4 linked regions of the Tamandua tetradactyla genome follow. The protein of the gene in region 1 interacts with the protein of each later gene in a pairwise test. Links are inferred from orthologs where the notes say so. Each region holds a gene or a part of one and is shown in the gene's direction. Other genes may lie near its edges.

What was found.
Region 2: the proteins of protein TFG (region 1) and PEF1 interact in binary tests that used the Homo sapiens proteins (3 or more experiments, as listed by UniProt). The two-hybrid records come from large-scale screens. The link is inferred for Tamandua tetradactyla from reciprocal best matches to the Homo sapiens genes TFG and PEF1.
Region 3: the proteins of protein TFG (region 1) and MAPK1IP1L interact in binary tests that used the Homo sapiens proteins (3 or more experiments, as listed by UniProt). The two-hybrid records come from large-scale screens. The link is inferred for Tamandua tetradactyla from reciprocal best matches to the Homo sapiens genes TFG and MAPK1IP1L.
Region 4: the proteins of protein TFG (region 1) and ANXA11 interact in binary tests that used the Homo sapiens proteins (3 or more experiments, as listed by UniProt). The two-hybrid records come from large-scale screens. The link is inferred for Tamandua tetradactyla from reciprocal best matches to the Homo sapiens genes TFG and ANXA11.

The regions. Positions count from the first base shown.
Region 1 is NC_135336.1:46,984,292-46,991,176, reverse strand, and holds the start of protein TFG, read left to right. Parts: upstream 1-3,884; 5' UTR 3,885-4,235; intron 4,236-6,885. UniProt on the Homo sapiens protein: Plays a role in the normal dynamic function of the endoplasmic reticulum (ER) and its associated microtubules. Required for secretory cargo traffic from the endoplasmic reticulum to the Golgi apparatus.
Region 2 is NC_135328.1:194,157,888-194,165,166, forward strand, and holds the start of PEF1 (peflin), read left to right. Parts: upstream 1-4,279; 5' UTR 4,280-4,384; coding exon 4,385-4,408; intron 4,409-7,279. UniProt on the Homo sapiens protein: Calcium-binding protein that acts as an adapter that bridges unrelated proteins or stabilizes weak protein-protein complexes in response to calcium.
Region 3 is NC_135338.1:11,053,396-11,061,074, reverse strand, and holds the start of MAPK1IP1L (MAPK-interacting and spindle-stabilizing protein-like), read left to right. Parts: upstream 1-4,663; 5' UTR 4,664-4,831; intron 4,832-5,149; exon of another isoform or gene 5,150-7,679.
Region 4 is NC_135339.1:16,846,113-16,853,873, reverse strand, and holds the start of ANXA11 (annexin A11), read left to right. Parts: upstream 1-4,750; 5' UTR 4,751-4,874; coding exon 4,875-4,929; intron 4,930-6,572; coding exon 6,573-6,685; intron 6,686-7,761. UniProt on the Homo sapiens protein: Binds specifically to calcyclin in a calcium-dependent manner. Required for midbody formation and completion of the terminal phase of cytokinesis.

The DNA.
Region 1 (6,885 bases):
TAGCATTTTTCCCCTTCAATATAAATTCTAGCCATACAGACTTTCAGAGCAAAAGAGTGAGTAGTAGTGATTTTGTCTTTCAAAATCATAGTATAGCTTTAACACTTCTTCACATGCTTCACATGAAACATGGAAAGTATCTTTTGAACTGCAGAGCTTCATTTTTCCCCTTTTGCTTCAGTCAGTGTCAAAGATATTTCTTTTAACACTGCTCCTCCTTTCTTCACATAGTATCAACTTTCACATAGCATTAAGTGGTACTTTCAGATTCAAGGCTATTCTTAATGTTGATTTAAAACTAAATTCACCTCCACATGAGACAGGACAGGTAACATGAGGGTTAATTTAGTCTAGCTCAGTACCTTTCCAGGCTCCACACAAAAGAGGGCAAGATGTCTTCTGAAGAGCAATGGTTTAAAAATGTGATTACTTACACAATACCTGTCCCTAGAACAATCTTCTCAATGGCATGTTTGATGATCATCTACAATAAATGTGGTCATAACTGCTTAATAAGTGATAATCTTATAACTTAGTCCTTTTGGCTTTACTAATAGAAGGCAGCACTAACTAAAATCAGTGTTTATATATACAATGGGAGAAATTATGTTCTTTGTAAGGGTAACTGATTCAATTCAAGTTATCACTCTATCATAATCATCTGTATTTACGGGGAGTCTAAATACAGAGACTTATATAATCATCTGTGGGCATGTTACAGAAATAGTAATAACTATTTCATTGATTCAACAGATACTCACTAAATGCTCACTATTCATACAGTAAAATGACAGGTGCTGGGAGGGACAGAGAAAATACAATCACTGTTACAGATACTGTAACATAGAAAGATAAGGATACAGGACAATCCCATGAGAGAACACAAGGAACTAAACGTCTAATTGTCAAGTGTTTGGTACACAAAGTCAGGGTTATACTGTGGTCTTTATGATCTTGATTAAGACCCCAAAAAGAAACCATTTATGCCTCCCAAAATAAAAAGGCTTAACAATACCAGTGGTTGGCATTATCTTATACAGTTAAATATTGCAAAATCTACCATTCAGCAATCCATTGATTGGTATATAACTGATCAAAAACTCTTACATAAGAGACATATACAAGAAATTCATAGCAACATACAGTAAAAAACTGGAAATAACCCAAATATCCTTTGATGGGAGAAAAGATTTTAAAGCATTGTAGTATACTCACCTAAAGAAATATTATTCAGTAGTGAAAATAAACTCCAACTGTATATAACAACATGTATTATTTTAGTAACGTAATATTGTGTATAAAAATTATGTTACAGGAAACCGCATATAGATGATAATCTACATAATGTCCATAAACAAATAAAATTGAATATCATTGCTTAAGCATAAATACACGTAACTAAACTACAAACAAGATGTAAAAAAAACCAAGCAAATGCTAAACACAAAATTCAGGATTGTTCATTATGTTTCTAAATTAATTTTAGAAAGATAATTGTTATATAAATAGGGTCAGAAGCAGGAAAGATCACTGAAGTTTTCATGGATGGTTTGGTACTTGAGCTGAAATATGAAAAATGCATTGGATATTGTTTGTTTTTAAGGCGTTCTAACCTAATTGGGACAATATATCAAAATCAAATAATAATTATGTATACTTCTGTATTAGTTAGGGTTCTTTAGAGAAACAGAATCAATAGGGAACACTTGCAAATATAAAATTTATAAAAGTGTCTCACATGACCACAGGAACGCAGAGTCCAAAATCCGCAGGGCAGGCTGTGAAGCTGATGATTCAATGGAGGGGCTGGACGAACTCCACAGGAGAGGCTCACCAGCCGAGACAGAAGAGCCTGTCTCTTCTGAATCCTCCTTAGAAGGCTTCCAGTGATCAGATTAAGCATTACTCATTGCAGAAGACACTCCCCTCTGGCTGATTACAAATGTAACCAGCTGTGGATGCAGCTGATGTGATCATGATTTAATTCTATGAAATGTCCTCATCGCAACAGATAGGCCAGCACTTGCCCAACAGACAAACAGGTACAACCACTTGGCTAAGTTGACACATGAACCTAACCATGACAACTTCCCAATACATGATCTCATATGACATATAAATACAACTCAGATATTCCAGACATCATGCCAATCACAATACTGTAAAACTATATCCAGGTGAACAGCATGATGCAGAACCCATAATAAAGCCCTTCATTAAAAACTTTAAAATACACATTTCTGAGTAATCCTTGGGAAATGCTTTAATGTTGCACAGATGTCCTTTTTGTCCTGTGTAACCTGAACCTTCAATTGGCTCCAAAATGCTATTTTACTCTCCTGTAGCTCACTTCTGTCTGGGTAGTTCCTTCTTCTGCTTTGACCTACCAAATAACAACAACCCTATTCCCTCAATTTCCATGGTGGTAAATGGGAGCAGGTTTTTAACATTAAATGAGACTTTACTAATGGTTTGGGCATGAAGCACAAAGGAATTACAACACAGAGGATCTGAAACTGTTTTCAAAGTCCACAAACCCCAGTCCCTCTACAAAGCCACCCTATGGATGCCTCTCTTCCTAGCTTCAGCTGGCCATAGTTTGGTAGAGGACAGCTTATATCTCCTCAGTGCGAGGACTCTTGAGTCAGTATCCTGGTCCTAGGAGTCTAAAGAAATTTTTCCTTCTCATTCCATGCCAAGGTTCATATCTTTATCACCCACCCCATAGTGTGACCTCTTATTAGGAAGATTGACAGTGGTAGAATTCATTCCTTTCAGGTAGTTTACCTCTGCTCATTAGGTGTGGTTTTACCTAATCCCAGACTATCCCCCAAAATATCAAAAACTCCCCCAAAATATCAAAAAATTATAGGACAGCAGAACATTTCTACAAATGCAGACTGTCCAATTTTTAAAAACAAGCAATGAAGAAGTCTCTGGAGAAAATCAGGAACTTTTTGATGCCACCTGCAATTGTGCAACTGTCAGAGAGCAATACTCAAAATCGTGTTGAAATACACGAACACTCAGAGGTAAAAAGCATTCTAAACTTACACGTTTCACTCAAACAGAATTTTCAGACATAACTTCAAAGAGATCAAAATATTTACAGTACTAAAAGAACTAACTTTCACCCTGAGGCACCTGAATTTACTTTACCTCAGGTCCTTCAGGAATATCCACGGGACAGGATTAAGTTGGAAATGCTTTAAGTATTTGCTTAGTTTCACCTTAGAAGGCAACGCAGTTCGTAACTTTTAAAATAGCATGTCCCTTCCTAAAATAGCAGGGCCCTATCCTCACGGTTACCACTTGACCCGAAACACTTAGGATTCAATATGAGACAAGTACCTTGTCTTAAGCAAAACAAATGCTTAAAGTGAAGAAGGGGATGTGGACACGCTCAAATGTCATACTCCAAAAAGACTTCAGGAAACCATAGAGAGTCTTTATCTCCTAGCACTTCATTTATAGTTTTGTCCTGTCTTGTAAACGTTGTTGGTCTACTCTGTTGAATTGTAAACTCCTTGCTCACAAACTGATTCATCTATAAACCAATACATGGCAAAGAGTAGGCGCCCAGTAAGAATGAATGAATGGATGCGTGGAATGAACGCGGGAAAAAGGTTAGTTTTTTCGAGATGTGACTACGAGCACCACAATGGTCAAAAGAACAAAAACAGCCAAATTTGGAAAAATTTCAGCTGGCTGTTTAAAAAAAGTCCAGAACTGCAACTGCCGTACCGCCCAGGGAGAAGAACCGGAAAAGACTTGATTTGAGGAAAACCGGAAGTGCCTGGTCACGCCCCGCGCATGCGTGCCTCCGTTCTGTTCACACTTCCAACCCTCTAAGTCACCCAGTGAGAAGATAGTGACCCTTAGGCAGACGCGACCACGGTTGTATCCAGCCCCACGCCCACGCCTTTGCGCATGCGTCCTAGAACGCTGGCACTGAGGCGGGGCGAGAGGGCAGATTTTTTCTTGTCCCGCCCTCTTATTCCCCCACCTGCCACGTACTGCGCCCAAGCTCGCGCTAGGCTTTTTGGGTCTGTGTGATTGGCCCCGTCCGCGCGAGAGAGCGAGCGAGCGAGGTGCGGCGGCGGCCGAGAGCAGCCGTGCCGGTCGTGACCGAATTCTGACGCCTCGGAGCCTGGCAGCAGGGGCAGGGGCAGCCTCGCTCTGACGCTGCCAGCGAAGACCCGCGGGAAGGCGAAGGCAGCGGCCTCAGCAACCCGGTATGGTCGCCGGAGATGGGGGCGAGGAGGCGTTGGGAAGGCCTCTTTCGAACCTCCTGGTGCCGGGCGGGTGGGGCCAGAGGGGCCTTGGGGGCCTTGGGAAGGGGGTTGTGGTAGGGGGAGGGGCCAGGGTAGAGAGGAGGAGGCCAGGCGAAGCCTAGTGTTGGGGGAGGGGAAGGTGCAGAAAGAAAGGGGTCCGCGGCCGGGTGGCAGGGTGGGCGGACTGTGCGGGGTCGGGGTGGTGTTTGGGGCCGCAAGTGCCCTGACACCGGTTCCGCCGGAATGCAGGGGGCCTGGGTTCTTGAGAGAGAGGACAGGGAGTTTGGGAGGCCTGGGGTGGGTCGCGCGTCTTTCCAGATACGCTTGGAAGGGTGAAAATAATGGAAAAGAGTGTCTATAGGAATACATGGGTTACGGTCACTTACGAGGAACTTCTTCCCTTGGCTGTGTCAGCTCTTTTAATCACGCGCCGTCTGGAGGCCCAATTTGTAGTCATGAGAGCTAACTTTTAAGAGTTGACTGTTTGCAAGGCATTATTCTAGGAATTTTAGATACATTATATATGTGTGTGTGTGTGTGTGTGTGTGTGTGTATATATATATATATATATATTTTTTTTTTTTTTTTGTATGGGCAGACACCGGGAATCGAACCCAGATCTGCGGTATGGCAGGCGAGAACGCTGACACTGGGCTACTGTGGCCCTTCCAGTGCAAGATGTCATTTAACCATCACAAGGATCTTTCCACAAATAGTATTATTTTCCTTTAGAATATAAGTGAAGCTTAGGGAAGGACTTGCCTGAGGTCACTCAGCTATAACTGGGAATCTTACCATCTTGCTACATTGCTTTTGGTTGAGCAAGATTTGGTGCCTCTTTCATTCTTTGGAATAATCAGAGTTTGAGTGTGCTTAGGATATCTAGAGGAAAAGTGCTATTCTCCAGAGGTGCCAGGCAGCTGCCTCTAAATTTGAGCAGGGCCCTACCCTCAGTGTTAATGCAGCAGGTTTGGCCACTGTACATATGTGCTGGTTCTGGAAGTGGGTTTTTTATCATGTCACTTCATTTTCCAGTGCCAAGATACGTGTTCCTGCTCAAGGATTTTATAAGTCAGTGGTCATCTCAATTCTGGACTTCAGAGAGGGTAGGGAAGGGACAGGATTGGAGAAGAGAATGCTGTAAGGATCTCATCAGCAGCCTTGGGAGCTAGTTATTTTTACCAACCTTTTGTTGTTTATACTAGTACTTAAGTTAGAGGAAAAAAAGAACCAGAATTCTGTTAACATCAAGAAATGTGGGATGTTATTTACCATCGAAGGGAAAATTTTGTGGCATACTCAGTTTGTGACACTTTTGTACTTCTGGTTAGGTGATGACTGCGTGACTGGGGGCAGCCTTGGGAAAAAAAGCCCTGGTACCTAGCGGCCATAGGCAATTTACAATCAGTGGGAAACACAAAGTAATAAGTGAATTTGCGGGCAAACATGGCAGATAAAAATGTATGTAGTGACTCAGATTTTTAGATCCATTGGAAATGAACCATTCCCTCACAATCAAAGTGACATATTACCAGTTATATTGCATGTTGGAATTTTCTCTTCATTAGGAATATGTGTGATGTGGAGTCACTTCTGGCTATATAAGGAAGGTACAATGTGAAGGTTCATCTTTTGTGCAGGGAAGAAAAACAAATATTTAAATACCTGCTGGGTATTAGGCACTATTCCAAGTGCTGCTGGGAATAGATAATATCATCTTACTGAAGCTAAGCACTGCTCCCTGTCTACGTTAATACTGGTTTACATGTCCTTTGGTTAGGAGAAGTTAGCATATATATTGTTTGAAAGATATTTATTATGCTCAGGCAGTCAGTAAGTACAAACAATACCCTTTTTTTTTAGTTGAAGTAATTTTATTTCATGGTACGTAGTAGATATTCAGTAAATATTTCCTGAATGAAGAGGGCAGGTTTGGCTAGCAGGTGAATGGAGGCTTTAGTCGATCACAGTCTTTATAAAAAGTCCTGCTGGAGAAGTGGCAGATAAAAAGCTAATTGTATTCTTATTTTGCATTAAGACAAGCATAGCATCCAGATCGTGAAACACAATCCACTCTGTTTTACATGAATCTTAAGAGTGTTGTATTCAAGTGAATCCTCCATTTTAAGATGGTTATTAATAAAATGTGACCTGCCCAGAGGAAGGAGAACTGGAGATTGAGGAATCTAAAGACAAGACATTCATTTAAGGAGTAGTTAGTTGGAAGGACATGGCATTTATATGAAAAATATTAATGGAGGATTCATGAAAACTTTCTTGAGTCTTTCAAGAGTTGAGGTGGGGAAGTGGATGCTTTCTCAGAAAAAGAATAATTGCAGAGAAGTTCGAAAACCAAGTATGAGGTTAATGAAGTAACAAATTTGAGAGCATAGAAAGCTGCTAGTAGTAAACCATGAGGTTGAAACCGGAATGTGCAAGTAGAAGGTTTTCAGGCACCTTAAACAGCCTAAGCGAGATCATTTGGTTTGGGCAGGAGAAGGCAAAAGTTGATGCTAAGAAATGCTCAGTACTTATAGATGTGTTCAAGAAATTTTGCTCTTGAAAAGAAAAGATATTAACCCATTATTTGCTCTTAAACTTATTCACTATT
Region 2 (7,279 bases), on another chromosome or scaffold:
CAAAAATCAGTGGCTCTTGCTCATAAGTTCAGGAGCTGGATATGCTGAAGAGAAAGGCAGGAGGAGTGCATGCCTTCCACTTTTTTCGGTAGCCTTCTTATCGTTCCTGCGCTGTTATTCTTCGGTCTTCATTTCTTAGTCTATTTCAAGTGTTTAAGAGAACACAGATCATTCAGATTGCCAAAGTCTAACTCGATGAGTCTGTTTCCTCTTTATACTTTGTGCCAGGAACTCTACTAGGCTCTGGGGATTAAGAGACCAACCAGACAGAAATGGTCGCCGCCCCCACAGCATCTATGGGGAAAGCAGACAGTTAAACAAGTAATTATAATAAAGTGGGATGATGGGGCCGTGCCATGCCAGGGGAGCGAGCACAGCTGGGGGTGCTAACATTGTCTAGACAAAAGACAGAGAGATTGATCCAGGCAGAGGGAACAGCATGTGCCAAGGTCCAGAGATGACTGAGCCCAGTGTGCTGAGTGGCTGGCAACAGACAATGCAGCTGGAATGCGGAGCATGTGCAGGGGAGGCACAGCAGGAGGCCACTGATGGGTTTTATGCAAGGGTGTAAGGAGTCAGGTTGACCTAGTGATGAGTTTACTGGCTACAGTGTGAAGAATGGATTGGAGGATCCTTAATTTGAGAAATCTTCGGCTCTGCAAAATGGAAGATAGACTGCTGCCTATTTGTTCTGTAGATAAAAATCCTAATGTAGATGCCTTCTGGAATTTAAATCTTTCTTTTTGTCATAATATTTTTCTGTCACCAGAATTCACTAGAATCTACTTAAACTCTTCCTTTACATGTGGTCTGTTAACCTCTTACACAACTATATCTTTTCTGTAATTGTCCTTAATATTTTATGGGAGTGGAATGGATAAACGTACTCTCCATATGATCCCATAATAGAAGGGAAGAGCAGCCAATTTGCCAAATCTGCTATTCTCATTTTTCTGTGTGTTCTGTGGAAAGCTGCATCTCACCCTCTGATCCACAATATCCAAGTGGAATTTAGATTTCGGAACCGGATCTGTTTGGAATCAGAGAGAAGAAATTCCATAATAATTAGGTAGGTGTTGGTATTCCAGTAAGTAATACTGGAGCTTGGCGCTAAGCCAAGAGGCCATGGGGGTGATGTGTCTCTAGGGGAGGCAATATTTTCCAATGGATGGACCTTCCATTACCGAACTCGGCTTCACCTCTAATGGGTCAACAACAGGGCTTCCATGAGCTCAGGAAAGTGCTCTGCACTCTAAAAAAAAAAGCTGGAATTCAAGTTTTGTCCTTTGGCTAAAGCTGAGATAATAACTTCCCCACCCACCTTTGTCTGCCTCAGGTAGTTGAGGTTTTGGAAATGCATTATTTTTCAATCTTTGGAGATCCTTCTTTCCCTCTCATCCAGCAACCTCCAAAATAAACACACCTGGGCCTGCTGTGGATCCGCTGAGGCACAGCCCTAAATATCTTAACCTTGGCTGGTCTCTGACTGCCTGAGAGATGACTCGGATGTCTCTGCCCCCAGATAGCACAGAGCTCTAACAGAAAATGCTCCTAAAAGCCCTTTGCTGGGAAGCAGGGTTTGGGTACATGGAAATCTCATAAAGTTGTATCCTCCTCTCCTTTAACAGAGGCTGGCAAGTGGTGAGTTAATGTCTGTGGAATAAATGACTGAATCACATGGCCCCAGTTTGCAGTCCAGGTGCCACTATTATCTCTCACTCTTGACCTCCAGCCCAGACTTCAGAACTTTTTCTTTTTGAGATTTTGCAATTCAATTCCATAAATATTTTTGGGAATTGGTCTTGGTCCAGGGGGCTACCAACTACCAAACACTGAGTAGTTAAAAGAGTGTGGACTTGGGTTCAAACCTGGCTTTTCCATTTATTATCTGTTTGATATTAGGGAAGTCACTTAGTGTCTCTCAGCCTCTCTCCTCGTTGTAAATGGAAAATAGTATCTACTGCAAAGGACTATTGTGAAAATTAAACAAAACATAGTACTTAGCACAATGTCTGACACCTGGTAAGCACTCAATACCTGATAATAATAACCACTAATATTTACGAATCCATGTCAGACACTATTCTAGGTTTTGGGATAAACCAGTGAATAAGAAAAGAATGATTCTACTCTTATGGAGCTTACATTTTTCATGGGGGAAATTCCATTACATATGTAAATTTTAAAGAGGGCACTGAGCAGAGATAATATTATGAAGAAATAAGACATAGTGATATGATAGATGATTGGAATGTGGGGGTGGGAGTGGGGTATTAAGGAGTACCCCCTTAAAGAGGTGACATTTGAACTGGGAACTGAATGACAAGGAGAACCCAAGCAGTGATGAGCCCAGAAAAGAGTTAATCCAAAGATCCAGAGCCAGGAATGAGTTTGGTAAGATCAGGCCAGCGTAGCTGGAGTGAACTGGAGGACAGCGCTGGCAGGAGGTGAGGCTGGACATATGGACAGGTCTGGGTCAGGTAGGACCATGATGGTCATGAGGATAAGTTCAGATTTCGATGGGATGGTCCTGGAGAAGTTGAAGCTCAGGAATGACAGAATCTGATTTACATTTTAGAAGATCATTCTGGCGGCCTTATGAACAACAGAGTCGGGGGTGAGGTGGCAAGAGTAAAAGCAGAGATATTGGTCAGAAAGCTATTATAGTGATCCAGGCCACAGGTGATGACGCCTGGACTAGGATGACAGTGCAAACAAGGAGAAAAGGGCACATGGGAGTATAATTTGGCCGTAGGACAAATGGAGGTGAGGGGAATGGGGAGATAGAAGACTTGTGAATGAGCCTAGCATTTCAGTCTGAGCAAGTGGATGAATTTTTCTGAGATGAAGAAGGAATGGATTGTGGGGAAAAATCAAAGAGAACTCTTTGATTTTGGTATTTGGCACAGTAACTGGATCAAGTGCAGGTAAGAGAGGGATTAACTCTGGAGCTGGGGGAAGTGGGGGAGGATTATGAGGAGGATGTGATTGGAACTGGGCCTTAAAGCACTGGCAATGAGACAGCTGCTGGGTCAGGCAAAAGGAGTAATTTGAGTAAAGGTAGGGCATGAGCAGATGCAATAAGCTCATTTTTCCATATTTATTTGTTTCTGAGAACTGAGGAAACAGACTAAGAGAAGTTAAAAAGATCATCCAGTTAGGAAGTTGTGAAACCAAGATCTTCACTCTGCAGCAAAAGTGCTGAATGGGAAGAGAGAGCATAGGAAGTACAGAGTGAAGGGCAGACAGGGACGGTGAGACAGATTATAAAGGCAAATTGGGCCAGATGAAGGGCCTGGAATGCCAAGATGAAGAGACCGGGCCTTATTTTGTAGGTATGGATTGAGAGAAGCTATTGCAGGCTGCCAGACAAGGAGCATGACCTGCACTTTAATATCAGAAGATGCCTGGCTAGCTGGTTAGATAGAGCGGCTGGACTGCATAACACCGCATAACACTAATTTATTCATTTAAAACAATACAGCATGAGGCACTGTGCTAGGTATTGGAGATATAAGGGCAAGCAAAAACAATCACCATCCTTGTCCCCATGGAATTACTTAATAAATTAACCTAATAAACAAGTATAGAATCTAAATTTCCACTAAGAGGCAAGTAACTCAGTAACTACGATTTGACCTACTATGGGGGCAAGTCGAGGCTTCCCTGCTGAGAAATGGACATTCCCTGATTCGGTTACAGGCCACATTGCCACGAATTCATTGTGAACTAAGGCTAGTCACTGCCACTTTGGACCTGTTTCCCCATTTATGAAATGAGGCACTAGAGGATCTCATTTTCCTCCCAGTCTGACAGTTTGGTATTTTCTTCTCTGAAGATCACAGGTCTGTATCCCAACCCAGAGCTACTAATTGGCACCCGGGTGTCTTGTCATTAGAGAGGAGGCGCCGCCCGCCTCCGTCTTCTCCGGGGGGGGGGGGGGGGGTCAGGCGATTTCCCGTTGTTATGGCAACCGCCTGGGCCCTCCTCGGGTGGAAACTTGGAGGAACAACAGCAACTACGCCACTATTCCGCGTCCCATTTGCCAGGTTCTAACATGGCCACTGCAGCAACAACGCCCAGGCGTCTCACTAAGCATCCAAGCCTGGGCAGCCCTGGGGCCTGCGCCAAGTCAGGAAAGAAAGGGTCAGACGCGCCAATGCGGTAAGCAGCATTTCTGCAAACCTCCACCCAGCTCCTGGATCCCCAGGTCTCTCCTGGAGGAACCCGACCGTCACCCTGTTACGTCATACCCGCCGACAGTACCCAAGATTGACAGTCGGAGATATCCAATCAGAAGGGACCCCACCCCCAGGCCCACGCGATGGGCGGGTTCTAGGATGGGAAGCCCCGCCCCTCGCCGACGTGTGACCTCAGAGTCGCCATGGCCAGCTATCCGTACGGGCAGGTGAGTGTGTGAAGGGCCCGCGAATCCAGGTAGGGGCCGTGCCAAGGCCAGGCCCGGGGACCCCGCTCTTCTTTCTCTCTCCGCATTCTCCACGCTGAGTTTCCCAACGGGAGAGAGGAAAAATTGACGGTCGGTCGCGTCTGTCTCACGTCACGCAGTACCGTGCGTCTGAGAGGTCGTGTCGCGCCCTCTCTGACGTCTCCTACGCTAGGATTTGGGGACCTTGGACCCCACGAATTCCGGCTGGACCCGGCCTGCGCCCTACACCCTCCTAGGCTTCCGCCCGGACTCCGAGCGGGGTCATCGGCACTGACAGGACACTGTTTCCATCGGAGTCATTTGGGGCGTCGGATAAACATACAGCATTTCAGAACGACTTCAGGCATAACTGCATCATAATACTAAGGAGAGGCTGTGATTTTACGGCCCCCACAAGTGAGCTGACGTGAACTACTTAGTCCAGCCCTTCCATTTCAAGCATAGGAAACATGAAGCCCAGAGAACGCAGAATTTATATCTAGTATCCAGGTAGTTAAGCAGCAGAGTCGAGATCAGAACCCCGGGCTGCCAGCAAATGACTCGCCCCCACTTGCTAGCCCATCCTCATCCAGCCAAGAACACCACAGGAGGTGATTCCCTGGCCAAGAGTTATATGTTGGGGAACAGTAGGGCATGGTTGTGAAGTGCAGTTTGGAGTCAGACCTAGGTTTGAATCTTAGCTCCATCACTTAAATAATTTTGAGCCCTTAAGCAAGTTATTTTGCCTTTCTGGGCTAAACTTTTCTCTTTAAAATAGGACCAAATGATAGGGCCTACCTCATAGAGCTGTTACTAAGAGTAATGAGATGATGCTTGTAAAGCATTAGGTGCAACAAGTGTTATCCTTTGGTATTGAGATTTTTACTAGATTCCTAGAATATTAGTACTGGGAGGGTCCTCAAGTATGATTTACTTCTCTCATTTTACAGAGAAGGAAATTGAAGCCCAGAAAGGGGTCCTGAATTGCCCAGAATCACACAGTAATTTAGGAGATAAAGCATGTGCAGGAAAAATCAGAAAACAACGGATGAAAGCACTCAGCTAACTATAGTGATGTGCCAAAAGATGTGGCAAGAACCCTTCAAGGGAGCGCAACCAGTTTTCACAGCATTCCATCCACCATCATCACAATCCTGAAGCCCCTATAGCATGCTCACAGGCTTGAATACCCTGATTTACAGCTGAGAAACAAGCCCAAAGAGGTTATGGTTGGGAGGTATTACTCAAAAGGAGCATGAAGAGTAAGGGGCCTGTCCAAAGGCACCCATAGCAAGTGAGGGTAAGGCTAGGGTTTAGAACTCATTTCATTCACACATAGCAGGAGGAAGAAAGGCCAGCATCAGCTGGGGTTAGGAGGAAATATAATCCAGCACAGTTTTTCAAACTCTATCCTGAATCTTTTGAGATGTTAATAGGTATTAGTAATAGGGGGAGGATTCTGTGGTTAAAAATGTTTGGGAAACACTCGTTAAATACAGCTGAATGCATTTGTTCACTATAGAACATGCTAGAATTCATGATTTGCTAATGTGCATTGTAAATCTGCTAGAGAGGGACAGAATATGCAATATTTCTCAAACTTATTTAACCATGGATTCTCCCCCTCCCCCCTTATAAGACTGGTTAACTGTTTTGTGACGCTAGATTTTCTGAGAAACACAGTTTGAGAAAACACTGCCATAGTATATTGTCTCTCAGAGTATGGTTTTCCTGCATCAGAATCACCTGGAAACTTGTTTAAAAAACACACTTTTGGGTCCCACCTCAGACCTGCTGCATGCCCAGAAAAGGTACAAGAATCTGCATTTTAATAAACTTTGGGGTAATTTTTTTTTTGCATCCTAGAAGCAGTAACAGAATTTAGAAGCCTGAGCTTCCAGGTTAGACAGAATTTGGCTGTAATCCTAACTCTACCACTTACTGGTTGTATGCCCTTGGACAAACCATCTAAGGGCTTGGAGCTTCAGTTTCTTCGGTGTAAAAAGGGCAACATGATACTTCATAGGGCTGTGAGGATGAAATGAGATGAAGCCTATAGGGAGCTTGGCATGTTGCTAATACATAGTGTGTGCCAGTGCTTGGTAGCAACTCTTGCTGTGTGATTGCTGCTATTGTGCCATGCTGCCCAGGCTTATGCTTGGGGGGTATTATTGAACAGGAGCATGAAGAGTAAAGTGCCTGGAATAAAAGAATAAATGGCTTTTTTTCCCCTAACATACCCTTGTTTGCCTGTTCTGCTCCTAATCAAAGGTGTTCTAAGAGGGAAATGGTTGTTTTCAAAAGCCCCAAGGGCTCAGTCAGCATTCCCCACCCCCATCCCCCCAAACACACTCACAGTACACAGCCCTGGAAGATTCCAGACAATTGTTAAGAGCTAGAACTCCTGTAATTTTCCACTGCTTCAAGTCCTGGGGCACTCAGGCATAGTCTCGGGAAACCAGATGGGTACATTTCAATGCTGAAAAGCTTGGTCTCTGAGGCTAGATAGATTTGGCATCAGATCCCCCCTCTGACACTTCCTTGAGAAGTTTTCTTGTAAAAAGGCCTGAGGCTCAGTTACCCCTTCTTTAAAATGGGGTCATTGAGGTTACTGTAAAATTGAATGGGATATTCCATTTAAAGGGTTCTGTGTAGTGTTTGGTATGTACTAAACACCCCAAATGGAAGAGTGATACAATGTGTAAATTGTAGAATTAGTGAAAGCATAAAATGGTGTAAGTGTGAGGAACTAGGAAGGCACGGGAGGGATACCTACCTCAGTCATGGGGTGCACGAAGTCTTCTTAAAGAAGGTGACATTTAAACCAAAAGCTGAATTACCAGTAGGAGTTAC
Region 3 (7,679 bases), on another chromosome or scaffold:
GACTTTCTGTTTCTGTGAAACAATTATAATTTTAAGTATTTTTCTTTTAAACATAACTTTTTATTAGTACAGAAAAACCTAAAGGAAGACTAGCTAACAAATATTCTGTTAAAGGGTAGTTTTATAAAGAAAAATGAAATATAATTATGTTGTTTTTATAATAGTAAAAAATAGTGTTTGTATGAAAGTCAAGATCTAAGTAGCTTTTCATATAATTCAAACTAGTTGCTAGTGATATATTTTCTCTTGGTATTCTTATTTTTCCAACCTCAACGTATTAGCAGCTGTTAACATTTTTAAAATACTGCCATAATTATAACCTTAAAGTAGTTGACCTAATAAGTGAGAGCAGGGAAGAGAATATTTACAGAATATTTACTCTGAAATGATTTGCATTTTACCTTTGGTATCTGCTACAGTGAAAAGAAATTTGAAAAGTAGAAATATCAATACTTGAGAAGGGAATTGTTTATCATGAAGGGAAAGGGAAAAAGTAACAATAAATTAATGTTTTAAAACAGTGTAAGGAACTGGAATTTAGAAAGGTTAACCCTTTCTCTGCGACTTTGTGAGGAAATATTTGGAAAGCATAACTCATTTTAAAATGTTAAAAAAAAGTATTGAGAGATAACTAAAATGGCTAAGTTTTGAGAAGATGTGAAGACATACAAATTTATCTAAATATAAATTTTGTAAATCATTAAGTTGAACATGGCAAACATTTGAAAAGTGTAAAATCCAGTGTTGAGAAAACATTCAGCATGGTGGAAATCTGTAGTACTTATTGGCAAGAGAGGATTGTGCTAAAAGAAACAGGATAAAATATTAAAATTAAAAATTTAAGCATTACCTCAGGGAAAAGCCTTGACAGTGAAAGGAAACTGCTTAATCACTAACAGCTAGTCTGGACCAGACACTTAACTGCACTTTGGGAATAATACTGCACTAATCAGGAAATAAACTTGACTTTTCTATTTCTCTCTGAAGCTTTTCAGGACATCCTCTCTCCACCACCACCACCACCACTTTTTTTTTTTTAAAGCTACAGCATCTTTGATTCATACTATAATTCCTGAAATACATTAAATGGATTTCTTTAGGTTCCTTGTGTTTTTTGTATGAAGAGTAATGTGCTCTTTCTATAACCATGCCATTCACTTAAATAATTCATAGAGGGAAAGCTTTAATTTAAAGGAAGACCCAATAGGAAGAAGATTAAAGGAAGCTTTTAGTCAGCTTGTGGCTAGATTTATTGATTTGATCAAACCTGTGTTCTTTCTTGAATTTCATCTAATGGCCAACTGTGGTCAAAAAGTTGCTTTCAGTTAAAGTTTTGACATAAATAATATAAAGAATGTCTTAGAAATTGGAAATCCTTTAAAAAGTAGAACAAATGTGGTAAGTAGGGCTCACATTATTGAACAAATACCATTTATTTTTATAAGAAAAACACAGACAAATTATTTATTCATGAGACAAAGCCATTAAGATAAATCAAGTTATCAGCTTCCTGTTTCTCTTCAGTTTGGATCATTTTATCGATCCACATAATAGAGAGCTTCCTTCCTATGTAACAAAAACCTTAAGACCTAACTCTTATAAATACACTCATTTGCATTTAAAAAATGGAGTTTTGTCACTTTTAGTTATAAATCAGAGTCCAATAAACAGCTTATATATTGATTTTGGTGGAGCAGATGTCTCAGGAAAGTATACTTTTAAGTATACTTTAAAATTATTCCTGGAGGGCGGGCGATGGTGGCTCGAGCCTCGCCTGCCCTGCTGGAGATCCGGGTTCGATTTCCGGTGCCTGCCCATGAAAAAAAAAAAGATTCCTGGAGACAAGGAAAAAATTCTAATGTAAAATAGTCTGTAGCATTAGGTAACTTAATGCCAAAATGAGTTAAAGATTTTGAGTCAAGTAAATAATTGTTTCTACTTTGGGGGGAAAAAAACTTAACAATTTTTGTTTTAACAATCAATTGTACACTCATTTTTTAATTTCTAAAAAAAGAACCAAAAGCACAAAGGGTTTTTCTTTTGTTCAATGGCCTAGTAGAAAAACTGAGCAGTGCTGCAAGAGTCTATCTATACTACTTTAATTCATTAAGATACTAGACACAAAATGGACATAAATTTTAAAAATAGATTGGCTTTTAATTAGAAATGTAGACTGATGGATATAACCCAATGGAAAGGGATTTAGGGCATATGAATTCTTTTCTAAATAAAGCCAAAGTCTATCTTTGATTTACTTTAGACTTTTGAGTAGATTATTCAGTCCTAAATCTTTCTTTGCCTTCATTTCCTTATATAGAAAATGTAGGTAATAATACTTGTCACTTGGCTTTCTATAGGTTAATTCTAAAGTTAAGAAGTGGCCCTTGGGGCATACTTGAAAATAAGTACAGCTTTTAAGTAGTAATGTAATGATTTTCAAAGTATCCCTTTAATAGACCCTGCAGAATCACAGTCACATCTTTTAGTTTGTAATAACCTTTCCTGGCTTGCTTTGACAATAGAGGTAACTCCAGATTTGAATTCACTGTTTGGACTCTGCAATTAGATGAACAATTGTAATTTCCTCCTACACTTTAGAAGGCCTATGTAAAATTGATGTTTGCCTAACTTATTTTAAAATTGATTACATTTGCAGGAAATAAAGATAATCATTTTTGCCATACATGTAGTCAAATTTAAGCTTTCAGACTTGAGAGACATGGTGTAAAACTCAGAGGTTTACTCAAAGAATACTGTCTTTACCAGAATTGGATAAACTCTATAAGCCAAGTATGAATTTGATATCTACTTGAATGTACAAAGCTTAAGTAGTAACTTCACAAAACTATTAGTACTCTTGTCAATCAGGCTTGTATGATTTATTCTCCACCCCTTCCTCCCCAAAAGTAAACTATTTTCATTTTTATTTCTAATCCTGGAGTTGAATGTTTCTTCTTGGCTGTGACTTTAAATAAATTGATCTGAATAAATTCTCATTTCTTCTTAATTAAAACAATATATGAAATCCAAAGGCTTTGTATTTTGTTTTTAAAACATTGTATGGCCTCTCATGTTCAACTTAGAATATGTAAAAAAAAATTTAAAACTCTGTAGTCTCACAAATTTTCTAATTTACAATACACTCCTTTTAGTTTTTCATGTGTCAGTTTGGGTCTTCCAAGAAGAGATGCCAAGATGCGATTAAATGCACAACAGACTTATTGAGGGAAACACCCATGAAGGATAAAGGGGGAGGAAATAGGAGAAGGTGGGGAAGTCTAAAGACAACATTGCAAATCTGACACCTGTAAAAGGAAAACTGGAAGGAAAGATTGGGTAGAGTGGGCTTCAGACTGCAGTGCAATTCTGAATATTCAGAACCATATGGGGAGTTAGTTTCCAAACAAACTTTGCCCGTAGAAAATCCAACATAGAACAAGAATCGCCTGGCTCTAGAACCCCAACCCTGCTCAGTTATTGAATGGAAACAGCAGGAAAAATCTGGAGGCTGTCAGTCATTCTAATAGAGGCCACAACTAGGGTGAGGTTTTAAAAAAATATTCTGTGGAACAAAATATCAACATTTTAGATAAATGCAGAATCTGGATTACTGATATTTCCTTCTGCTTCAGGCTTCAGTAGGGCTCTGCAAAGCACTGCTGGTCAACTGCCTTTTATAAGTCAGGGTTGGTTTATCCACACTAGTGGTGTGATTGTCAATAGACCAGAGCCCTGTACTCCTATCCAAAGTTATGTCTTTCCAAGACTTAGGTATCTGATGTTCTATTGCTCATTTCTGTATGAGAAGTATATGCTGCGAGCACACCCAAAGCTAAGTCTTCATCTAGGTAGTTCATAGTCAATGACCGGCCACTGACCCACAAACGCCTTACACAAGCAAAATAATGTAGTGTACAGCATACTTTTAACAACTAGCTTCAACTATTTTTTGCACACCGTGTAATTATCACATCTTTATTACTAGCCTGTGGCTCACTGACGGCTGGGACTATGTCATTTATCTTTTGGGCCTCACACGGAGTAGGTGCTTAACGGTTATTCAAAAATGAACATGTGCGGAGAAGAGGCATTGCTCAGGAAAAATGCGAAGAGAGAGCTGTTCCTTTAGTTAATGGCAATTTATCAAGCCATTTGTAAATGTGTAAATGTTTTTCCTTTCCTGCATTGTTCATTCAACTCCAATTTTGGCTTATGGGTGTCTAATGTCTGAGTCCTTTGCTAGGCGCAAACTGGCCACATACACACACACACACACACACACACACACACACAGCAAACTGGCCACATACATACACACACACACACACACACACACAGCCTCCTTCGAGGCCCGGTTGTAAAAACTGCTGCGCTTAGGGGTGCAGAATAGGGCCTGGCCTCAAGCCGCCACTCAAGGCAACAAGTTGTCAATTTCCCCTGAACTTCACCGGCCACAGGCGTTTCTTCCTAGTCCTAGGAACTTTGGAAAACATGGGAGTTTTCCACCCGCCGACTAAGAAGAGCCGCACCGCCCAGCCGGGACCGGATGCAGTGCTGCCCGGGGCCTGCAGGGAGCGCGCCGGACCAGCCGCGAGGGGAGGGGCGGGAGCGCGCGGGGGAGGCACGCTAGGCGCTTCCTGTTCCGGCGCCAGGAGGAGCCGCGCGCTGCCGTCGCTGCTGCCGCCGTCGCTGCCTCTGCCGCCGCTGCCTCTGCCGCTGCTGCTGCCGCTTCTGCCGCCGCCGCCCGTCAGGTTGCGTTTGGTTCGTCAGCCTTCAGTTCCTTCGTACCCATCGCCGCTTCTAGACCTTGCTACGGATTGGATCTTGCCGGGTGAGGCTGCTGTGGCGCTGGTGGGAGTCGCGGAGCGGGCCCGGAAAGATTACGTTGAAGGGCTGGAGGGCGGGCTCAGTAACGGCGGTGCCTCGAGTCTCCTCCGGTGCTTGGGCCGTGCTCACCTCCCTGGGAGGTGAGCGTTTCTCTCGGTCACCTCCTTGCGGGCCCCAGATTGGCCGCCACCACCCCCCATCGCCCACCCAAGGAGAAGGCGTCCGAGGCATCCAAGGCGGTGACGTCACGCCCGGCGGGTTTCTCGGCGCTTGACGTCAGGCCGGGTGGGGGCGGGGCCTACTCCCCTCCCCCACCCGCCGGGGCGGGCGCGACCCGCTCGGAGGCCGGTTCGCTCCGGTTGGTCCCGCATTCCCTTTGTTTCTTCGGCCCCGGAGGACTGTAGGCCTCGCGCCCCTTGGCGCAGACCCCCCGCCCCTGCTGATTAATTTCTGATAAAAAGGGAGGAAGCCCTGAATTAGATACTTAGAGGAGTCTGATGCTTTTTTGAGGTGATTGTCAGGGTGACAGCGTTTTGATTATTCTCTAGACGAGTTGGGGACAATGCGTTCAATTTTGGATACCCGTGACAGGAAATACGAGACGTGCCGAGTTCTGTAATGCTTTCTTTTCTTTTTTTTGGATCTTGGGGTATATATTAGGTATTGCGGTTCATAAATAGCTTAATCTTTTTTCTCTATACTTTAGAAACCAACAATAGTGCTTTTAATAAAGATTCTGACGTTGACCCGTCCGTCCAGGCCCACTTGACTGGAAATTATTTTTTATAGCATTACTATTAGAGAAATACACATTTGTGCACCTAGTAGTTGTACAGGCCTGTTTTGAAAACAGAGCCTTATTGCAGGTGGACTGTTACCTCAGAAATAGTTCAGAAGTGTTTTGGAGGAAGGGAAAATACAGATTTTCGTTGATACTGGTGTCTCGGATCCCCCTATTCAAAACTAATTTGCCCCCAGAAACTTTTGAATTGAGATGCATAGATGGGACTGTTTCTGACATCTCTCCTGGAGAAACGGATGATAGCTGTCCCTAGTTTTCTATCTGAAACCCTTGGGGCCAGTGTGTTTTGGAATTTAGAAATCTTTGGATTTTTCCTTTAGATTTTAGAAATACAGTCTGGTGCTTAAACAGCTGATAATACCCCCCGTCCCCCGCGTGAGTCGCAGCACCCAAACATCCAACTTTTATTTGTGGAGGTGTGAATATCCACTCATTTAAGTGGGAATTAATAGGAACTACAAATAGCCTCAGTTCAGGTTTTGCCTCCAAGTAAGTTTTGTGCGAAAATTGGCACAGTTTCTTTTGTTTTCAAAGGTTTGGAGATTGAAAGATAAGAACCCTGTAATAGTAATTATAAAAGCTAGTATTTGTTGAATTTTTGCTATGTGCCAGACGAGTCAGAGATTTACTTATTGTATAAGTCTTCCAGCTCCTCTGTGAGGTAGATACTGTTCGTATTTTCTTTTTAACCTGTGGGGTTTGGACAGTTTCATTTGTCCAAGGTTCAGAGCCAGCCAGTGAAGAGCTGCACTTTGAGCCTAGGCGGGTATTCTTTCAGTATTCATTTTTTTAACCAAATGCTCATCTGCCCATTTACAAATGAAGGTAAGAGAATTTGGTATTCGTGGCCCACCCATTTTTTCCAGGTACATAGTAGATATTTGACATGTCACGCTTAATCTCTCACAACATTATTAATATATTCTTCAGAGTTGAAGAAGCAGATTCATTCAGATGAGTTGACTCTTAAGTGACCAAAGAGGAGTCACATCCTGATCTAAGGTCTCCTGTCTGCTAAGAGTTTCAGATCCCTTCTCTCCTTTGCTATATTCCGACCAATCTGAGCTGTTTGTACTTCCCCACAGCTGCCTTCTTGCCTCTCTCCCATCTTTTGAAAGAAATTGCCCTCTTTTCCTTAGAATTTGCCCCTAGATCTATCCTCATTTTTCTTCTAGACTGTGAAGGCACCGCTCCTCAGGAGTCCTTCCTGACATCCCCTTTCTTGATTCCTTTAGGGTCCTCTTGGAGGTAGTCCCATAGCACCCTGTGCTTAGGTAATGTAGCTGCGTTTTATGGTAGCATTAAGCCTTTGCTTCATGTAATACTAATTTTAGAGCCCAACACCATGACTAGCCCATATAGCTCCATACATATCTGAATATATGTATTACGTATATCTAACATAAGATTACTGAAAGATTGAATTTTTGAAATTACACGTTTTAAAGTAAATTTGAATGTGCAGAACATCTCAAAACCCCAATTTCTTGAGTTTCCAAAAGTCAGAAACAGAACATAGCTAATAAATGAACTAGTTTGAAAAGTATCATATATTCTACCTCAAAATTTGTAATTTTCAAAACAATACATTGCCATCACCCTCCCCCAATACTAAACAAATCAACATGAAAATCCTATCCAGCTTCCTTTAGTTTCTCTTAATATCTTATATGAGTATAGCACTTTATAAATCAAGTGTTACTGTAATTATCTGTGAGGTAGTTGGGGATAATTGTAACAGATGAGGAGATGGTTTCTGGTTTAGAAGTTCATAGAAATGTTATGCTTTACTTTTCTAGTGTATGTCAAAAGAAATGTGTTCTTGTAAAATTACTATTGCTGCTCATTTTCTTGGATGATGTATAGATCCTTTCGTAAGTAGTGATGGAAAATTTTCCAAGCATTGCGTTTAGGTTTTTCCAAAGGAAAGAGAAGTGAAAACCTTTTATTATTATAACTTTTTGATGGCATTCAATGTTACATTGTCCTCATTTTAATAAGTAGTATAATTCATATATTTTGGTTGAAATCTAGGTATTTTTACATTTTG
Region 4 (7,761 bases), on another chromosome or scaffold:
GACCCAGCTGCTCCGAGTGGGGTTAGACCTGCCCTGTAGGGCCCCCCAGGGCTGAGCCGGTTGCCAGGAGGCAGATTCCGACTATTGGGGTGGGGGTGGGGAGTAGTTTTCTTGTAAGCCCTGCCGGGAGCGAGCGCCCGCAGCCCCTGTTTGCGTGCAAGCAAGGACAGTGCCCGCTAACTGCCACGGGCCTTAGTAGCCAGTGGCTGCTCCAGGTCCAAATCCCCCACCTAACCCTGGGCTGGCTCCAAGCAGGGCCACTAGCAGACTGAATGGACCCTGTGTGGGCTATTTTTTTTTCTTTGCATAAGCAGGCACGGGGAATGTGTGGGCTATTTTAATCTTGGAAGAGCAGCCCTGACTCTGGGAGGCAGGAAGGGCTGGCCTCAAGTGAGTTCAGAAATCCCTACCTCAGTTGGACCTTTTTTTTTTTTAACATAGCAAACATGAACATTCTTACCATATGATCATTCCATTCTTGGTATATTATCCATCAATAACTCATATCATCATCACATAGTTGTATATTCATCACCATGATCATTTCTTAGAACTTTTGCATCAATTCAGAAAAAGAAAACAAAAAACTCATACATACTATACCCCTTACCCCTCCCTCTCGTTGATTGCTAGTATTTCCATCTACCCAATATATTTTAGCCTTTCTTTCTCCTATTTTTTTTCTATACCCCTTACCACTCCCTTTCATTAGCATTTCAGTCTACTAAATTTATTTTAACATTTGTTCCCCCTATTATTTATTTATTTTTAATCCATATATTTTATTCATCTGTCCATATTATAGATAAAAGGAGCATCAGACACAAGGTTTTCACAATCGCTCAGTCACACTGTGAAAGCTTTATCATTATACAGTCATCTTCAAGAAACATGGCTACTGAAACACAGCTCTACGTTTTCAGGCACTTCCCTCAGCCTCTCCATTACACCTTAACTAAAAAGGTGATATCTATATAATGTGTAAGAATAACCTCCAGGATAACCTCTTGACTCTGCTTGGACTCTCTCAGCCATTGACTCTTTGTTTTGTCTCATTTTGCTCTTCCCCTTTTTGGTCGAGAAGGTTTTCTCAGTCCCTTGATGGTGAGTCTCATCTCATTCTAGGATTTCTGTCCCACGTTGCCAGGAAGGTCCACACCCCTGGGAGTCATGTCCCACACAGGGAGGGGAAGGGCGGTGAGTTTACGTGTCATGTTGGCTGAGAGAGAAAGAAAGGAGTTGGGCCCTTTTAAAAGTCGTGCTTTTAACAGGCAGTAATGCATGTGGCAGAAAGGCAGAGGGTATGGATGTAAACAGTAAGCCACTTTCCTGTGCGTTCCTGTGCCATTTTCCCTGCCAAAGGCAACCACTGTTACTCAGGTTTTCGTAACATAGGTGCTCTCGTGTACGTATGTGTGCATATACAAATGTGTGTTTGTATGTTTTCCTTTTTTAAAAGTTAGCTTGATAGACACATAGTCCTGTACCTTAATTAATAACCGTGATGATCATTTCATATCTCCTCTTTAAAAATAGCTATATAATATCCGTTGTAGGTGTCTACTGTAATTTATTTAACAATGGTATTTATATAGAGTTCTTTGCTATTATTAAGATTAATGGTGCAGTAAATTCCATGGCCTTAGGTCGTTTCACCCCGATGTGTAAGCGTGTTTGGGAAATAAATTTGCAAATTAGAATTCCTGGGTCCAAGGGTATGTGTGCACTTTAAATTTTGATAAGCCTTTCCAAAGTGCTTTCCAGTGAGGCTGTTCTTATTTATATTTCACCAAGTGTTTGAGGTCCTGCTTTTCCACAGACTTGCCAGTATGGTGAATTATCTAATTAAAGTTTGTTTTCCAATCTGATAGATTTTTTTAATTAAAATTTTTTAATGTAAATTTTAATTAAATTTTTTATCGAAATTTTTTTAATGTAACAACATAAGAAAACGAACATTCTTACCATATTATCATTCCATTCTTAAATCTGATAGGTTTTTAATTGACAGTTCTCTTGGTATGCTAGTGAAGGTGCACACCTGTGTTTCCTTTTCTGTAATTGCCTGGTCACATCATTTGAACAGTTTCTTTACTGGTTGTTGGTCTTTTTCTTACTGATTTCATCTGTTTTTTTATTATGCAATTTTACTGAGCTATATTCACATACTATAGAATTGTCCAAAGTGTACAATCAGTGGTTCACAGAATCATCCTATAGTTTGTACATTCATCACCACAATCAATTTTGAACATTTTCATTTCTCCAAAAAAATACATATAAGAATGAAAATAAAAAATGAAAAAGAACACTCAAAACATACCATACTCCTTATTTCCCTCTATTATTTATTTATTTACTTATTTTTGTCCTATTTTTTATTCATCTCATCCATACACTGGATAAGATACTGTCAGCCACGGAGTTTTCACAGTCACAGTGTAAAAGCTATGTAGTTTTTACAATCATCTTCTCAAAAATCAAGGATATTGGATTACAGTTCAACAGTTTCAGGTGTTTCCTTCTAGCTATTCTAATATTTAAAAACTAAAAAGGGAGGGATATCTATATAATGCATGAGAATAACCTACAGAATGACCTCTCAACTCTATTTGAAATCCCTCAGCCGCTGACACTTTTTGGTTCATTTCCCTATTTTGGTCAAGAAGTCACCCTTAGATCCCACGATGCCAGGTCCAGGCTCACCCCTGGGAGTCATGTCCCACGTAGGAGGGAGGGCAGTGAGTTCACTTGCCAAGTTGGCTTAGAGAGAGGCCACAAAAGGGGTTCTTTGGGGGTGACTCTTAGGCATAATTATAAGTAGGCTTAGCTTCTCCTTTGCAGGAATAAGTTTCATAAGGGCAAACCCCAAGATCAAGGGCTCAGCCCATTAAATTGGTAGTTCCCAGTGCTTGTGAGAACATCAGGAATTTCTCAGGTCAGAAAGTTTAATATTTCCAGTTTTTCCCCAGTCCCTCAAGGGGGCTTTGTGAATATTTTTTATTCTCTGCCCAAATTACTCTTGAATGTATTGGGGCATCACACTAACCAGTACAAACCCACAGGACCTCACTTCCTATTCAAGGTTCCCTGTAATCATAGTGTTCAAATAAACTGACCGTACAAGTTAAATTAGATAGTGTGTTACAAAAAATATAAATTTTGCACCAAATAAACATCTCTTCCCTGGTCTCACACAGAAGTTGACGTTTTATAACACAGTCAGTGTCATCCTTTACCTTTCAATCTGGTTCACCTTACTCCTAACCAGACCAGCGTCATTCATTCCTCTAGTTGAAGTCAGATCTCTTTCTCAGCTTTTTTAACACTTGCTGTATGGAATAATGCTGATTTTCAGAGCTGCAGCGCTCTAGCTCTGAGTCTCAGATGTCAAACATTTATCGAAATTACGGGAAACGATGAAGTTATACACAAAGAGCTCAGCATCTTAGAGTTTAGAAATAAGTGTTACACTCAGGAGTAGATGTGATTGCTGTAAGAGCTTACTTACAATCTAGGAATCTTTACAATTCTCAGTGTTTGCACCTTATAGCTAGTCCATATTCACCTAATGTTCACCCTTGTCCTCAAGGTCCATTCACCTAGTTGCTTGTCAGTTGAGGTACCCTTGGGCCACCTCCATCCATTGAGAATTGCCGCCGTAAACACCAGTGTGCAAATGTCCAGTGGTGTCCCTGCCTTCAGCTCTTCCAAGCATATACCTAATAATAGGATTGCAGCATCATGTGGCAGCTCTATACCTAACCTCCTGTGGGGCCACTGCACTGCCATCCAGGTGGGCTGCACCGTTTTACTTCCCTAACAGCGGTGAATAGGTATAACCCTCTCTCTACATTTTCTCCAGCACTTGTATCTTTGATTTCATCTTTAAAGAGCTTTTTATTTTAAAACAAGGCCTGTAAAACATTTTTTCTACCTTTGTCATTTCTCCAACTTTATATTGTGTTTTAGAGCTTTGATTTTATATTCTTGGGCTTTGGAGCCATTTCTTACACTTAAATCTAATCTGGCTAAAATTGATTTTGGCGTAAGGAATTAGGGTAGTAACCCAACTGTGCTGTTCTTGTCTTTTAACTCTGACCTGGCTATGGAGGGGCCGTTTGGCGTCATTCTTCTAAGAGGAGACCAGGAGTAGGGAATGGGCTTTGATTCCCAAAGGCCGTCCCTGGTGATGGGTCTCCCAAGGGCAAGGTGTCAGGACATGGGAGCAGCTCCCCCTGCTCTCCTTTGGAGCAGTTCTTCTTTCTGCCTTCAGAAGGTTCCTAGTCCATCATTCAAACCCGCCACGCCACCTCCTCACCAGTGAGGTCTGAGGACTTGGGCAGGACCTCAGAGGACTCTGTGCTGCCTACTGCCCGGCCACTGGGGGAGGGCCAGCGGTCCCTCAGCCACCACATGCTTCTTAGGGAAATTCCTCTTAAATGTGACAGTTCACCCCTGACGACGGCTCGGGGGTCAGTCCTGGGCCCTTTTCGTACCCATTACTTGGAAGAGTCACAATGCCATGTGGACCAGATCGGTAGCTATCGGAACATAGCTGAGCTAAAGCGTGTGATGTCAGCTGGCACTTGAGAGGCTCCCTGCAGGCCGCGGTGATGGACCTAAGGGAGAACTTCAGCAGGCCTCCACGTAAGACCTAGCGTTGTCCAGAAAACCCAGCAGCCCAAAAAACAGGGAGGAGGAGAGCTGTTGCGATGGGGAGGGAGGGAGGGCTTCAGGAAGAAAAAGAGCTGTCAGAGGAGAGGGTCCTGGTTGTGGTTTGTTTCTGTCGCGTCTAAGAAGCCAAGCGCTGTGCGTGTGGCTGGTGGGGGCAGAGCCCGAGTGTGCTTTCCTCTTCTCTTTCAGATCTCCCCATGAGCTACCCCGGCTATCCCCCGCCCGCAGGCGGCTACCCCCCAGCTGCACCAGGTAAGAGGGACTGGGGTGGACTGGGGAATAATAGTGTTTTGGGGCAGTTTCCTCCCTCCCCATCTTCCTCCACAGCACACCCACATAGGGAGGGGAAGGAACCACCAATTGGGGGGCTGGGGCTAGAAAAAGGGCATGGACCCCAAGGCCTGAAGAGGCCTGGGTTTGAATCTGCTTCCAAAGGCAGGGACCGACCCACTCTCTTGCCTTATTAGCTGATGGCACTGAGCAAACGCTGCCCCTTCTTCCATTTTCATCTTTGCAAGATGGCTTCCTGGGTCCCTCCCTGTGCTGCGTGGATGCTTGTTACTGAGGTCACCAAGCAAAGCGTCCTGAAGCTCTGTTAGGTGACAGGTGCATGGTTTTGCAGCCCAGTCCCCCTACAGCGGGAGGAAACGAGGCCTTCCTCGCTGCAGCTGCCCAGAAGCTGTGGCCACAGGTAGCACCGAGGTGAACCCACCTGGTCAGGGATCCAGGCATGGCCCTAACTTCACCACTTTCCACCACACTGAGGAGCCGTCTTCTCTGGCCCTGTTGCCTCCTGTTTTCCTAAAGTGAGATTTGGTCCCCACAATCAGAAAGGAAATGTCGGGGCTCCTGGGACAAGAGGGAGCCCCTCACTCCGGGCTGCACCTGGCGAGGTCCTCGGGCCCAAGCACGATGGGCCCCGTGGGTCACTTGGATCGCCCTCCCACTGACAGGTGAAGGGACAGGCCCAGAGCAGGGAGGCGGCTCAGCCCCAGGCTCACAGCCCAGCAGGGGTCTAGCTGAGCCATTTCTCTGACCCGAGCTCCTGCCTCCGATTTGCTCCCACGGCCTCAGCCCCCACCCTGGTAGGAGTCCAGCCCTCTGTGTCCCACCGCTGCCGCCATTTGTCAGCACAGCTGCTTAGCCTCTGAGCAGCCAGAGAGGGAGTGGGCTGGTGACACAGGGAAGGATCCACTGCCCTGAACTTCCCAGAGCCCAAGAGCTGAGAAGCCAAAACCAGGTCCTTGGGGGGCCTTGTCCCTGCATCTAACCAGTGCACGTTCCCCAGGCTCTCAGCCCTCCTCACAGCTCTTCCAGGGAGGCTAATTAGGCTAATTATCCCATTTGTCAGCGGAGGAGCCTGAGCCCATGGTGGTGCAGTGCCGGCCCCAAGCCGAGTCCCCTGTCCCTGTCTGTTCAGAGCTAGAGCTTTTCCTGGTATCTCCCCATATTGTGTGTTTTCCGTGGTCCAGTGGTGTCTCTCCATCCTCTCATCCTGCCTCTCCCAAATGTGTCCTAGCAAACAGCCGAACTGGCAGGAACCCACCCCACCCCCTGTGCTTCTGTGTCCCCTCTGGATTCTCGAGCAGTCACCTCCTGTGCCCGCCCTGCCCGCTGTGGGAGGGTGACTGCGCAGGGGGTGGGGGTGGGGGTGGGGGTGGGGGGTTGTTCTCAGGAGTGTCCGTTGAGCTCCACTTCCCTCCCTGGAAGGAGGAGCAGGTTTCTCCTTCTTGCTTTGGCAGCAGGATCAAGTCAGGCTTTTCTGTGGGGTGTGGGACGCAGCCCTGTCCCCTCTGCTGGGCCTTGTCTCCTGACCTCCTGGGAGCTCAGTGTCTTTGCTTTTTCCCTTTTGGGGCCACTCGGGACAGGGCTCACGGGCCTGGTGTTGCTTTCAGGTGGTGGTGCCTGGGGGGGTGCTGGCTACCCCCCACCCAACATGCCCCCCATTGGGCTGGATAACGTGGCCAGCTACGCAGGGCAGTTCAACCCGGAGTACCTCTCAGGAATGGTGAGTCCAGCCTCCCACCAAGGCTGCCCCTGTGGCTGGCTTCCCATGGCCTCAAGGTGTCTGTATGGGTCCACCTGGGTATGCCGGGCTCCATCCTGGGACATAGAACTGTCCTCAGGGCCCCCTGCCTACTCGCTGTTCCTGTGTGGGTCTCACTTGTGTCCTTTTGGTAAACTGAAGGGAAGGGAAGGTACAGGGCCCTGTGGTCTCTCAGGTCCCTTTCTTCTTGGGGGTTTGTATAATGCGCGGTGCCTTCATGGAACATTTATTGAGCACCTTCTGTATGAGCTCAGCCTAAGGGCTGGGGCAGGGCGGGAAGCAGGTTATGTACACACATACGCATTTGTATGTGCGAGTGAGTTTGGACAAAGGATGGCTATTCTGATGGAGCCTAAGGAAGAGGCGGTGGCAAGTAGCATAGACAGACATGCTGCTTTAATTTGTTGTTTTGCTTTTAAAATGATGTATTTTATAATCTGAAAACGCGTGTGTGCTCAATGTAAGCAGTGTAGCCAACATGCAGCCTAATTGGTACCAGGCCCAGCTCTAGGCCCTGGGGATATGGGAATAAATCAAGGAGACATCTCAACCCTCCTGCATATGCCATCTACCTGGGAGAGACAGACAAGGAACATTTGAACTGTGCCTTGTTTGAAAACGGGTTGGTGCTGTATAAAGGAAGAGCGTGCAGGAGGCGGCGGGTCTGAAGTGAGGGGGTTGGTGATGTGGGCAGTGCTGTTAAGTTGAGTGGTCAGGCTGGCCTTGCTGAAAAGGGGACGTTGATTGGGGCACAGCCTGGAAGTAGGTGGGGGTGGTGAGGCATACATATGGGGGGGGGGGGCTCTGGGTAGAGAGGCACCAGCACCCTCAGGTGGGAGCGGGCTGATGTGCCCAGGAAGCAGCCAGGAGCCAGAGAAAAGATGAGCCGTAAGACCAGCAGTCCAGCTCTCATCAGGTGGAGAAGGCTGGGCTGGGGGTTTTGACTTTTTCTCTGGGTGTGATAAGGACAGCGTAAAAAGTCCAAGTACTAGCCCAGCCTCCCCTCCCCTCCTGGGGGTGTCTGCAGTTAACAGGTG